3 linked regions of the Arabidopsis thaliana genome follow. The protein of the gene in region 1 interacts with the protein of each later gene in a pairwise test. Each region holds a gene or a part of one and is shown in the gene's direction. Other genes may lie near its edges. The genes, in order: ZFP8, AT4G23860 and RFI2.

The links.
Region 2: the proteins of ZFP8 (region 1) and AT4G23860 interact in a two-hybrid assay, tested with the Arabidopsis thaliana proteins (one large-scale study listed by BioGRID).
Region 3: the proteins of ZFP8 (region 1) and RFI2 interact in a two-hybrid assay, tested with the Arabidopsis thaliana proteins (one large-scale study listed by BioGRID).

Annotation. Positions count from the first base shown.
Region 1 is NC_003071.7:17,505,264-17,509,020, forward strand, and holds ZFP8 (zinc finger protein 8), read left to right. Parts: upstream 1-2,079; 5' UTR 2,080-2,292; coding exon 2,293-3,066; 3' UTR 3,067-3,353; downstream 3,354-3,757. UniProt on the Arabidopsis thaliana protein: Probable transcription factor required for the initiation of inflorescence trichomes in response to gibberellin and cytokinin. Is not involved in the regulation of trichome branching. Is functionally equivalent to GIS2.
Region 2 is NC_003075.7:12,406,917-12,410,673, forward strand, and holds the start of AT4G23860 (PHD finger protein-like protein), read left to right. Parts: upstream 1-2,090; 5' UTR 2,091-2,249; intron 2,250-2,378; exon of another isoform or gene 2,379-2,381; 5' UTR 2,382-2,419; coding exon 2,420-2,503; intron 2,504-2,617; exon of another isoform or gene 2,618-2,867; coding exon 2,868-3,026; intron 3,027-3,125; coding exon 3,126-3,398; intron 3,399-3,485; coding exon 3,486-3,757. Other genes in the region: LACS4 (AMP-dependent synthetase and ligase family protein), read right to left, coding at 20-96, 222-270, 347-403, 521-610, 699-762, 1,193-1,347.
Region 3 is NC_003071.7:19,552,532-19,556,288, reverse strand, and holds the start of RFI2 (RING/U-box superfamily protein), read left to right. Parts: upstream 1-1,641; 5' UTR 1,642-1,937; coding exon 1,938-2,130; intron 2,131-2,503; coding exon 2,504-2,676; intron 2,677-2,797; coding exon 2,798-2,856; intron 2,857-2,963; coding exon 2,964-2,989; intron 2,990-3,078; coding exon 3,079-3,367; coding exon of another isoform or gene 3,368-3,446; coding exon 3,447-3,757. Other genes in the region: AT2G47710 (Adenine nucleotide alpha hydrolases-like superfamily protein), read left to right, coding at 333-516, 619-713, 951-1,072, 1,157-1,244. UniProt on the Arabidopsis thaliana protein: Mediates phytochrome (phyA and phyB)-controlled seedling deetiolation responses such as hypocotyl elongation in response to red and far-red light. Required for light-induced expression of LHCB3 and CHALCONE SYNTHASE (CHS).

The DNA of each region.
Region 1 (3,757 bases):
TTGTAGAAAGTCCGATATTAAGCATTCTCATCAATTTCCCTTAAATATTTTTCTAAAATATTAGAGGAATACAAAAAAACATTCTCATTAACTATATAATTTTAATAACAGTTAAAACTTTCATATTTGCATGCCAAGGCTCTCTGATGAGTTTAAATGTTAAATCGCATGTGTAGGTTTAAACAGAGTTTATTGTTTGTGGAAAAATAAAAGAGACGTGGACTCGTCATGTGAAGTCCAAAATCTGCAAAATTATGTATGTAAATTAATGTACTTTGGGACCAGCATTCGTATGGACATTATTACCATAGTTGAATTTACTTCCCTTTCTTACAATAAGCTTTTGATTACTCATATATACCTCACACATGTTATGTGAATCGGTAAATTCATACTATATGTGAGGAAGTCACTTACAACAGTTGGATTTTAAAGGGAATCCGTCTGAAAAAAATTTGGAGAAAAAAAGAAATTGTTTTGCTTACATAATTTAATTTAAAAATTATAAATAACAATACTTTTATAAGAGAATAGTTTATCTGTTGACCAAAAAAAAAGGAATAGTTTATCTATCCACAAATGGATGATCCATATTGGAGTATATAGAACGATAAGAGATGATTCGATACGTACTAAATGAAAACTTTGAATACTGTGTATAGTAAGCAATCAGCATTAGTTTACAAGATCTTAGTTTTCGTAGGATTAGTTTAGACTGTTTAGTAATTTGATTCCAACCATTGTACAGGAGAAAATTTTTACCGCTCAAAACAACTAACTGAACGTCATACTTAATTGGGAATTTGGGAGTCGTCAAAGAAATGAAAAAGGTCAGATTAATTTATGGATTAATGAGTTTTATAGTCCTTATTCCAGCTTGACATTAGCAACATATACATTATTTGTGTGACATAATCAGGGAATATATATAATCAAAATTAATGGGATTTAAAATTTAATTATTCTTACAAAATATCAAAAAATTTAGTGTAGACGAACAAAAAGAGAATACATATATATATATAGTTCATTTGAAGAAGACGTGTATATGATCGATCCGAGTTGATAAGTATTAACAGATTACATACATATTGATAAGATGATGTGATCTCATCGATTAAGGTTCAATCTTTTAAATTGGTTAACTATCTGGTGATGACATGTCAACTAGTCGATTATGAGCATCATTAATGATCATGAACATGGACCACCTCTCTCTCTCTGTAAGATTATCTTTGCATCAAAGAGACAAAACATCCAAGAGACTAAAAGTATGGTCCTTGAGAGAGAAGAAGTCTCTTTAATTAGGTCTTTCTATTTCTCTCTCTCTCTATTAGTAGTAAAATCCATGTACTTATACGTAGACATAATAACCAAATAGGTCCGTGATGTTAAAGAGTACACACCTAACTTCACCTTGCTAATGATCTCTTACCTACAAACTCTCACTGTTTTTAGTTCATCTCATTACTCACTGTGACCCCATTTCATCTGCTTACGACCAATTTGGTAAGCTTTTTGTCTTAGTTTCAACATTTGCAGGAATCACTTTAAGAAACAACTAACTAAAAAGGAGATAACTTTGAAAAAGGAGGATTGATGGGTTTGTTTTTGATGAGATGGATATTTGTATATGTATGTCTAATGAGAGATATATTGCGTAGGGGAAGTGAATGTAGATTAGAGGTCTCCCTATATATTGATTGATTTTATCCGGCTATTTTTACCTACCGCGACACACGGTATAGATTCATAGTAAGCTACAATTTAAACACAAGATAAATCTGTAATCATATAGTATAGTACTATGCTTCCATATATACCCCATATTTACGTCTCCTATGCTTCCATACGCTAATTAGTTTTTTTTTTTTTCCAACCATAATTGCAGGTTTATATAAACATGAACTAACGAAAAAAATAAAATATAAACATGCACCATGGAGTCAATTTTAAAATTCTATGAGGTTTGATTTTCAAAAGGAAAAATCTAATATACTAATGAAAAAATTGAGATCATAAAAAAACTAATGAAGAAGTAGATTTATTTATTTTGAAAAATATGTACAAGTGAAATGTGGATCATTCTTTAGCTATATATATATAGGTGGATAAACGTAAAATCACGCACGCGGCCATGCTGCAGGGGTTAAATAGCAATTATGTATTTACCTTAAAAAGAATTTGGGAACCTCTCTTTAAATTAATGCAAAACCTCATCTCTTGTCTTTCTGTCTCTGAAACAGTCAACCTCATTCTTCTCAAACTCACTCTCCCTGATCTCTCTCTTCCATGGACGAAACCAACGGACGAAGAGAAACTCACGATTTCATGAACGTCAACGTTGAATCCTTCTCTCAGCTTCCTTTCATCCGCCGTACTCCTCCCAAAGAAAAAGCCGCCATTATTCGTCTCTTCGGCCAAGAGCTCGTCGGTGATAACTCCGACAACTTATCCGCAGAACCTTCTGATCATCAAACCACTACCAAGAACGATGAGAGCTCTGAGAATATCAAGGACAAAGACAAAGAAAAAGATAAGGACAAAGACAAAGATAACAACAACAACAGGAGATTCGAGTGTCACTACTGCTTCAGAAACTTCCCAACTTCTCAAGCCCTAGGTGGACATCAAAACGCTCACAAACGTGAACGTCAACACGCCAAACGCGGTTCCATGACATCATACCTTCATCATCATCAGCCTCATGACCCTCACCACATCTACGGCTTCCTCAACAACCACCACCACCGTCACTATCCGTCTTGGACGACGGAAGCTAGATCATACTACGGCGGAGGGGGACATCAAACGCCGTCGTACTACTCAAGGAATACTCTTGCTCCTCCTTCTTCTAACCCACCGACAATCAACGGAAGTCCTTTAGGTTTGTGGCGTGTACCGCCTTCCACGTCAACAAATACTATTCAAGGCGTTTACTCATCTTCACCAGCTTCAGCGTTTAGGTCGCATGAGCAAGAGACTAATAAGGAGCCTAATAACTGGCCGTACAGATTGATGAAACCCAATGTGCAAGATCATGTGAGTCTCGATCTTCATCTCTGACTTCTTTTATTTTATTTTTTTATCATCCATCATTGCTGTGATATATGAGACTCGCTGATCGGTGAAGCCAATTCTTTTGAGAGTGTTGGAGACTGAAAAAAAGAAAAAGAAAACGAGAACCGGTTTGGTGTGTAGATCATCTTGAACCTTTTTGAGGTTTTCACATTCTGAGTTTATATTAATAAAGGGAATAATATTTTGGTTAATTAGTAAAATTCGTTCATCCGTTTAATTTCCTCTCACGTGTGTGTGAATGTGAATGATATAATTATCGTTTTTTTTGTTTGATTTCATCTGTTCATTTGTGAGTTCTGTTATGGCTTCCTTCAAGACTCTCTATAACTTTCAGAGAAAGAGGAACATTAATTTAAGGGCCATGGAAGTCACACGTACTTTCTCTCTGTTGTTGCAGTCGAGATATTTAAAGTCTTAACCATTAAAAACCCCAGAAGACTCTTTAGATACAAAATGCTTAGGGTCTCTGTCTAATTAAAACGGTCTTTTACCGAATCAAGAGGCAACGAAGGATGGGTAAATGCAGATGTTGATGATGATTCGGTGACTGTGGGGATCACTGAAGACAATGGACAAGACAAAAGGGGAGAGAGAGAGAGAGAGTTGAGAAGTGAAAGTGGTCCATGATTACAAGTGTAGAGTTAGCCAAAGATAGAGCTTTCACATCTTTCTCAAC
Region 2 (3,757 bases), on another chromosome or scaffold:
ATATATATTCTTACTGTACCTCAGAGATCTTCTTCTCTTCCACAAAGACAATTGAAACCTCTGAATGGGAAATGATGAATTCCACAGCATCAGCACCTATAAAATTGACACGCAACAAAAATGACAAATAAGCTAGCTAAAAGATTTGTAGAAGCTCACTGGAAATCTATTGGCGAATTTATCCTTCTAGAGTATATTGGGAAATACTAAAAAAGGCATACCTAGTGTATCATATAACGGTACACAATAGAGTCCATGTGCATTACAAGCCTACATCAAAAGTGCACTGTCAGTCCTCTAACAAAACACAATCAATGACATAATCATGATTCAGCCGCAAAATTACCTCCATGCTGATAATCCACTCAGGAGAATTTGCACCATAGATACCACATTTTGCTTCCTAATATCCCACATATCAGGAAACACAAGATTAAGCAAGGGAATAATCACATTGCGACAAAAAAAGGAAATAATGAGACTGAATATAGATATCTGAAAGGAAAAAGATGGATCTTACGTCCTTAACTCCAACACTTCTGAGAGAATTTCCAAGTTTCATGACAATGTCGTAGACTTCTTGGTATGTTTGCCAGACATACTTACCCGGCTAAGAACAATCAAAATAACAAGTGAATTTTATAATAACATGAAACGAAAATCACAAAATCAAAATCAATAACAAACAGTAACAACACCTTTCCATCTACAATCTCGCGGCGTCCCAGCATTGGATTGTTTGGATACTTCTCAACAGACATGCTGCAATAAACAATAACAGTAGAAAAATGTAAGTCAACAACCACAAAATATCACCAAACCACACACAAAGCAAAACAAAAAATGTCAACCAAATTCATGCAACTGTTAATTAATCACATGCCACTCAAAACGATGTTATTATAGACAAATGGCAAAATCATTAACCAACAAATTATATTTCTATCGATTAGAGCAACTTAGGTAGATCTTGCGATCCGAAAAACTTAAACAAACATGAATCAAATCCAGATAAACACTAGACGAAATTAAACTATACGATTCTTACTACTTGAGAATCCATAAAGAGCAAAAAACGCAAGTCAGAACAAATTCCATGATCAGTCAACAGATCAAGGATCAAAATCTCAGCAAGAATCGGAAACGAGGCTCATGCAACACAAACTCCGATCGGTTAAACGAGAAATCTCACCGGAAAACATCCCAACAACTATCCATTCCTTCGATCGGGTCGGGAAATCCGTCCTTGGCAAAGATACTCCGGTACACTGGACCAACTGATGGTCTTCCATCGCTACCTTCTTTGCCTTCTTCAACTTGGAAGATGTATTTCTTCTGCTGCGACATGATCTCTCTCTCTCTCTCTCTACTTCGTTCTCGTTCTCTTCTCTCTCTATCTGTAGAACGAGAAACTTCTGACGCGTTTTCTCAGATCGGAGAAGAAGTTAATAGAGACTTTCAACTACGACTGCGATTGGTTGCTACTCACTGACCATAAACCTGAAAAAGTCAAAGTCATATTCAACCTCTTATTGGGCCGTATACGTATCATCATATTAGGCCCAATAAAGTCATATTATCCAAATTGAAATTTATATTAGCCAATATTTAGATTTTATAATTAAGATGTCAAGAAACAAAACAAAAAGTGTGTGATTTTGATTTAAATAACTTTAGATTTTATCAATATTTTATCCCCCAATTTAATTTTTTTTTTAGAGGTTATCAATTAATCTACGATAATTAAAAATATGCTTATTACTCTATTAGTATGTGTGTTTGTGGATAGATTTGACTAGTTGCACACAGATATGATATTTGTTAAACATTAGTTATCAAAACAAAAAAATAAATATAAATTTTCAATTCATAAAAAACCATATAAGCAAGAATTTGAGATTTTGATATCCGTTTAATCTCGATACAAATTAATATTAACATGTACATTATCAAGTAACAATACTTATCTTGTGCTTATGCTTAGTTGCTGATAGTGGAGGGAAAAGGGTAATAGAATTGGAGGGTTAATGGCGGGAAAATGTCGATAAAGTCCCTTCCTTTATATAACATACATAAATTTTCTCGCATTTAAGAATTTTAACATCCGCTAGATCCTTCTTTCTTCCAAACCCTTAAGCTCCACCTTCGTTTTCCCCAATTTCTCTCTCTCTCTGCCTTCGTTTATCTATGTCTTGAAAAGTGAAAAGCTTTAGGGCTTTTACAAGTCTGAGAACTCCATCAATAACCTGGTAATGGTCCGATTGACATGTTTGATGTTTTGCGAATAATCTAGGGTTTCATTTTTTTTAAGGAATTTAGGGAATATCTCGTTTGAGTCTTTCGAATAGCTTTTATTTTACCCAATTTCATGTTTTTAGTAGTGAATTCAGGTGGGAATTTGTGAAGAATAATTGCGACAATGGCATCTGGTGTTTTCGAGGATGAAGCTGAAGGAACTATAACGATCAATGAATATATCGAAAGGCTTGACGCAGAAGAGCTGGTAATGTTCTCTTTCTCCTCTTGATCAGTTTTAAAGCTTATGTATGTTTCTGATCCTTACGAAAGTTTAATACTCTTCCACATTTTCACTCCTTGGTTGGTGATAAATCGTTTAGATTTAAGTGTAAACAAACGTCTTGAAATTGGATTCTGACCTTAAATTGACTACCTTTTCTGAAGCTAGTGGAGTGTGTTGGATTGTTATTGTACAGTCTCTGAGGTTTTGGCTAGCTAGTAATGATAGTGTGTGTCTCTTAATTAGTTTCTATTAATTTCAGTAGTGTGTATCTGTTTCTGTAATCCTATGTTATTTGGGTTTAGGGGTTTAATATTCATTAACTGCTTTTGTGATTCTTGATGTTAAGGCAGCGGATTTGGTGTTGGGTGGAGATGAAGGAGATGAGTGTACTTTCCCAAAGGGTTACATGAAAAGGCAAGCAATTTTCTCATGCATTACATGTACACCAGAGGGGAATGCTGGAATTTGCACTGCTTGTTGCTTATCTTGTCATGATGGCCATGAGGTAAATATGGTTGATATATAGCCAGGTTATGTATTTTGAAATCTGATTTCATAGTGTTAATTGGTTTCCTAATGGTTGAACATTGTTCTGGTTATGAAGCTTTTGGAGCTGTGGACTAAGAGAAATTTTCGATGTGATTGCGGGAACTCAAAGTTTGGAACTTTGGCTTGTAAGCTTCTCCCGAGCAAAGATATAGAAAACTCTGAAAATTCTTACAACCATAATTTCAAAGGCTTGTACTGCACTTGCGACCGACCTTACCCTGACCCAAATGTGGAAGAACAAGTAGAGATGATTCAGTGTTGTCTCTGTGAGGATTGGTTTCATGAGGAGCATCTCGGTCTCACACCTTCAGACAGTGTTGGTAGCCAGGTTTGTGGCCAGTGCTTAATCTTGTTGTTTACGATTGATTTTTTTTGTTGTTGGCGCTTAGTGCAATTTGTTATGTGATGTTAACAGATTCCAAGGGATGAGGAAAGTGAGCCGATCTATGAAGATTTCATTTGTCAAAACTGCTCCCCAGCATGTTCGTTTCTGACACTTTATCCTGAGAACTTGTGGGTTGTTGCTAAAGTAGATTCCACTGGTTCTGCTAATGCTTGTTCAGAGACAATTGAGTTAGACAAAAACCACATGGATTCTGAACCCGGCCAGCCAGAGAACGGTACTGATGCTGAGAAATCTGTTGTAGGAAAATGTTCTGAGACGATCAGTGACTCAGAACCTGGCCA
Region 3 (3,757 bases), 2.0 Mb from region 1:
ATCCTTTTATGTACTTTGTTTTATGGGTAATATTCAAATTAGAATAAATTTTGTGTAAAATCTGTGGGTTCTTCTTATTTAAAATCTGTGGGTAACTTTAAATATTGGGAAATTTACTAATGGAAAGGCATAAAGAAATGAGGACCAGCCACGTCATCAAATCAAAGTATCACATTCCTCTTTTCTTTTTATTTAAAGAAATTAAATAATAGAAGAAGAAGATACCAAAACTCTCTTTTTCTGTGCAAACACTTTGGAGGATTCTTCTAGGCTTCTTTCTACCACAAACACAAGAGCGCGTTTTCTTCACGCCGGCGAACAACGTCAGAGTCATGGCCACCGGAGATGGGAAATCGGTGATGGTCGTCGGAGTTGACGACAGCGAGCAGAGCACTTACGCCTTGGAGTGGACGCTCGATCGTTTCTTCGCTCCTTACGCTCCCAATTATCCTTTTAAGCTCTTCATCGTCCACGCCAAACCTAACGCCGTCTCCGCCGTTGGTCTCGCTGGTCCCGGTACGCTCTTTGCTTTCACTCTCGAATCTACTCTTCTAGGGGTTCTGTTTTGGGCAGCGATGGGGAGAGATCATTTAGGTTTTGTTAATCTGTGTGTTTTAGGAACTGCGGAGGTTGTACCTTATGTTGATGCTGATCTGAAGCATACCGCTGCTAAGGTTGTCGAGAAAGCCAAAGCAATTTGTCAGAGCAGATCGGTACGATCTTGCTATTATCAAACATTCAAATTCGTTTTATGTGTTTCTTGGATTTTATAATCGTCATCATGTGTTGTATTGGACTCTATTAGATGAGTTTGGTAATGTGAATGTGAATCTCTAGCACATTTAAGAGCTTCAAGCTAAGTAGCACTGGTTTTTCTTATAGTAACTATCTATCTTTGGTTAGCAACTATCTTCTTCTTTTCAATCATCATTCCTAGGTTTGTTGTGTAGGTTCATGGCGCGGTGATCGAAGTTTTCGAAGGTGATGCAAGGAATATCCTATGTGAAGTTGTAGATAAGCATCATGCTTCTATTCTTGTTGTGGGAAGCCATGGATATGGAGCTATCAAGAGGTATTATTTCATTCAGCCTTAATTCTTATGATCAATCTTTCAACTATACACCCATTCTGATTCACTTGTCGGTTTGTGTGGCAGGGCGGTTCTCGGGAGTACGAGTGACTACTGCGCTCATCATGCTCATTGCTCGGTGATGATCGTGAAGAAGCCTAAGATCAAGGTCTGAAACCTAAGGGAAGGCTACTCGGTCAAAGCAAAGTCTCTGCATAGTCTTCTAATTCAGAAGAATAAAGTGAAATAATATTAGCTTGATGTGAAACAACGATTCAAGACAATATACATTTGCATCTATATGTGTAATTGTTTACTACATACAATGTTTTGGTATCCTTAGACAATCAATATTCGTGTGTTATAATATGCTAATCTTTCTCATAACAAAATGGATGTGAAAGTTATAATAAACTTCATATGAAAGAGACTAGAGAAGAAAACAAATCAACTAAATAGAGATTAATGATTTAAATGAACAAATTTATAGTTTGGTTGTTGGTTCAGATGGATGGATGGTTTGATGATCATCTATCCAAAACTAAAGTAATAAAATAATAATAAAAAATTATCCACAATGGGAGAGGAAAGAAAAGAAAAGGGAGAGTCCAATGTCATTGTCCGGTTTTGAACCACGTCATCTCTAACAGGTCGGACGAGAGAGAGAGAGAGAGAGAGAGGAAGAGGAAGGATAGATTTACCGCATCGGCGTTCCAAAAGGCAGACGAACTCGGAGAGACAGATAGCGATAGCGAGACATGGTTTCTCATTGATTTTTGTTTGACAATCCTTTCTTTTCTTTTTTTTTGTTCTTTCGAAAAACGAAAATTTTCGTTGGTTCCCTCCGATTTGGCCTGCTGGTGAAGATATGGCCGGAGCTAAAGATTCGGGTTGCGATGATGATCTCCGAATTGCTGGTGGATGTGACCCTGGAAAACGCGGGAACCCGGAGGATTCCTCGTCTCCTGTCGAAGTCTCGTGCTCGATTTGCCTCGAATCGGTGCTCGATGATGGTACCAGATCCAAGGCTAAGCTCCAATGTGGTCACCAGTTCCATTTGGGTATTTCATTCCCTTCCTCCATCTCTTACCATTTTGCGTTCCCTCCATCACAGTTTGATGATCCGATGGCTTTTTGCTTGTACAAGCTTTTGTGCAATTATCTGATGGTAGATTTGGACGATAATTGAATGAATTTGAGAATATAGATGGATTCCTAATCCCTTGCTTTGTTTACAAGCTTAGATTGCCACGACTCTGCAGTTGGTTGATCCTAGAAATGATCGAGTTCTGACAAATGTGTGTCGTAACTTGTGAATCGGTTTCTTCTCTTGTGTAGATATAGAATGAGGCTTGCTAGTTCTATTATCTGGCTGCTGAATTTGTTGCTATTTTCGGCTTTCCCTTTAGCAGCTTGTTTTTTGGTTTCTTGCAGATTGCATTGGATCAGCATTTAACATGAAAGGAGCCATGCAATGCCCTAACTGTCGCAATGTCGAAAAGGGTCAGTGGTTGTATGCAAACGGTTCTACTCGCCCCTTTCCAGAGTTTTCCATGGAAGATTGGATCCCTGAAGAAGACTTGTACGGTTTAAGCTATCCGGAAATGGTAAAAGCTCACTACTTTGTGCAACGATATGCTTTCTTTTCGTGTACATGAGAACTGTGCTTTTATCATATAACCTCCTTATGAGAGATCGCTTATCCTGACATTTTTACGGGGTTTGCAGCAATATCGGGTCCATTGGTGCCCGTTTGGTGAACTCTCTCAAGCAGCAGCTTCTTTCGAGTAAGCCTACAACACCTTTACCATGGTTTTTGCTATTATCTCTCTTTTCTAAGGCTTTTGATCCTTCAAACGCGAAAGCTAGAATTGACTTTTGCTCTGTGTTTCAGGGAACTGGAACCTGCAACCACTACATGTAAGTTAGACGCTGATTGTTCTGTATATAATCATTTCATTTTGTCTAGCAATCCGTTTATAATGTCAAAACCCATATTTCTTCCTTAGATCATACTGAGTTCCATGGACATCACGCCGCTGCTGTGAATCATTCGTATCTTGCATATGTTGGACCTGGCCCAGCCGCTACCCCGAGAACTAGCGACAATAACAGCACAGATGATCATCCCTGGAACAGCCACTCTAACGATCACTTTCACCAGCTTCCTGTTGCCCCCCAGTATCATCACCATTCCCCATCGTTTTCACTACCCGCTGCTCATGTGGTTGATGGTGAAGTTGACTCTTCAGCAGCACGAGGCCTACCTTATGCGCATCCATTTCTTTTTAGTCACCGGTTAGCTTCTCAAACTCCCTATTGCTCTCAACTTCTTGCAGAGTGTTTTACAATATTCTTTTGGAATTGGGCATTGTAGGTCTAATCAAAGGTCCTCACCAGCAATTAACAGTTACCAAGGAAGCAGCACCCAAATGCGTGAACAGCATCATGCTTATAATCATCAGAGGCAACAACATCATGCCAATGGTCCCACTCTCGCATCACCTCTCATCTCCATGACAAGAAGGGGATTACCGCCGCCGCCACCTCCCCCACCAATGCCAGATCAGAACGTTGGATTCTTCATTTATCCAGGTGGACACCATGAACCAGAAACCGATCAAATTCATGCATGGGAGAGAGATTGGTTCCCACATTTCCCTGTCCCATCGAATCATCGCACGATCC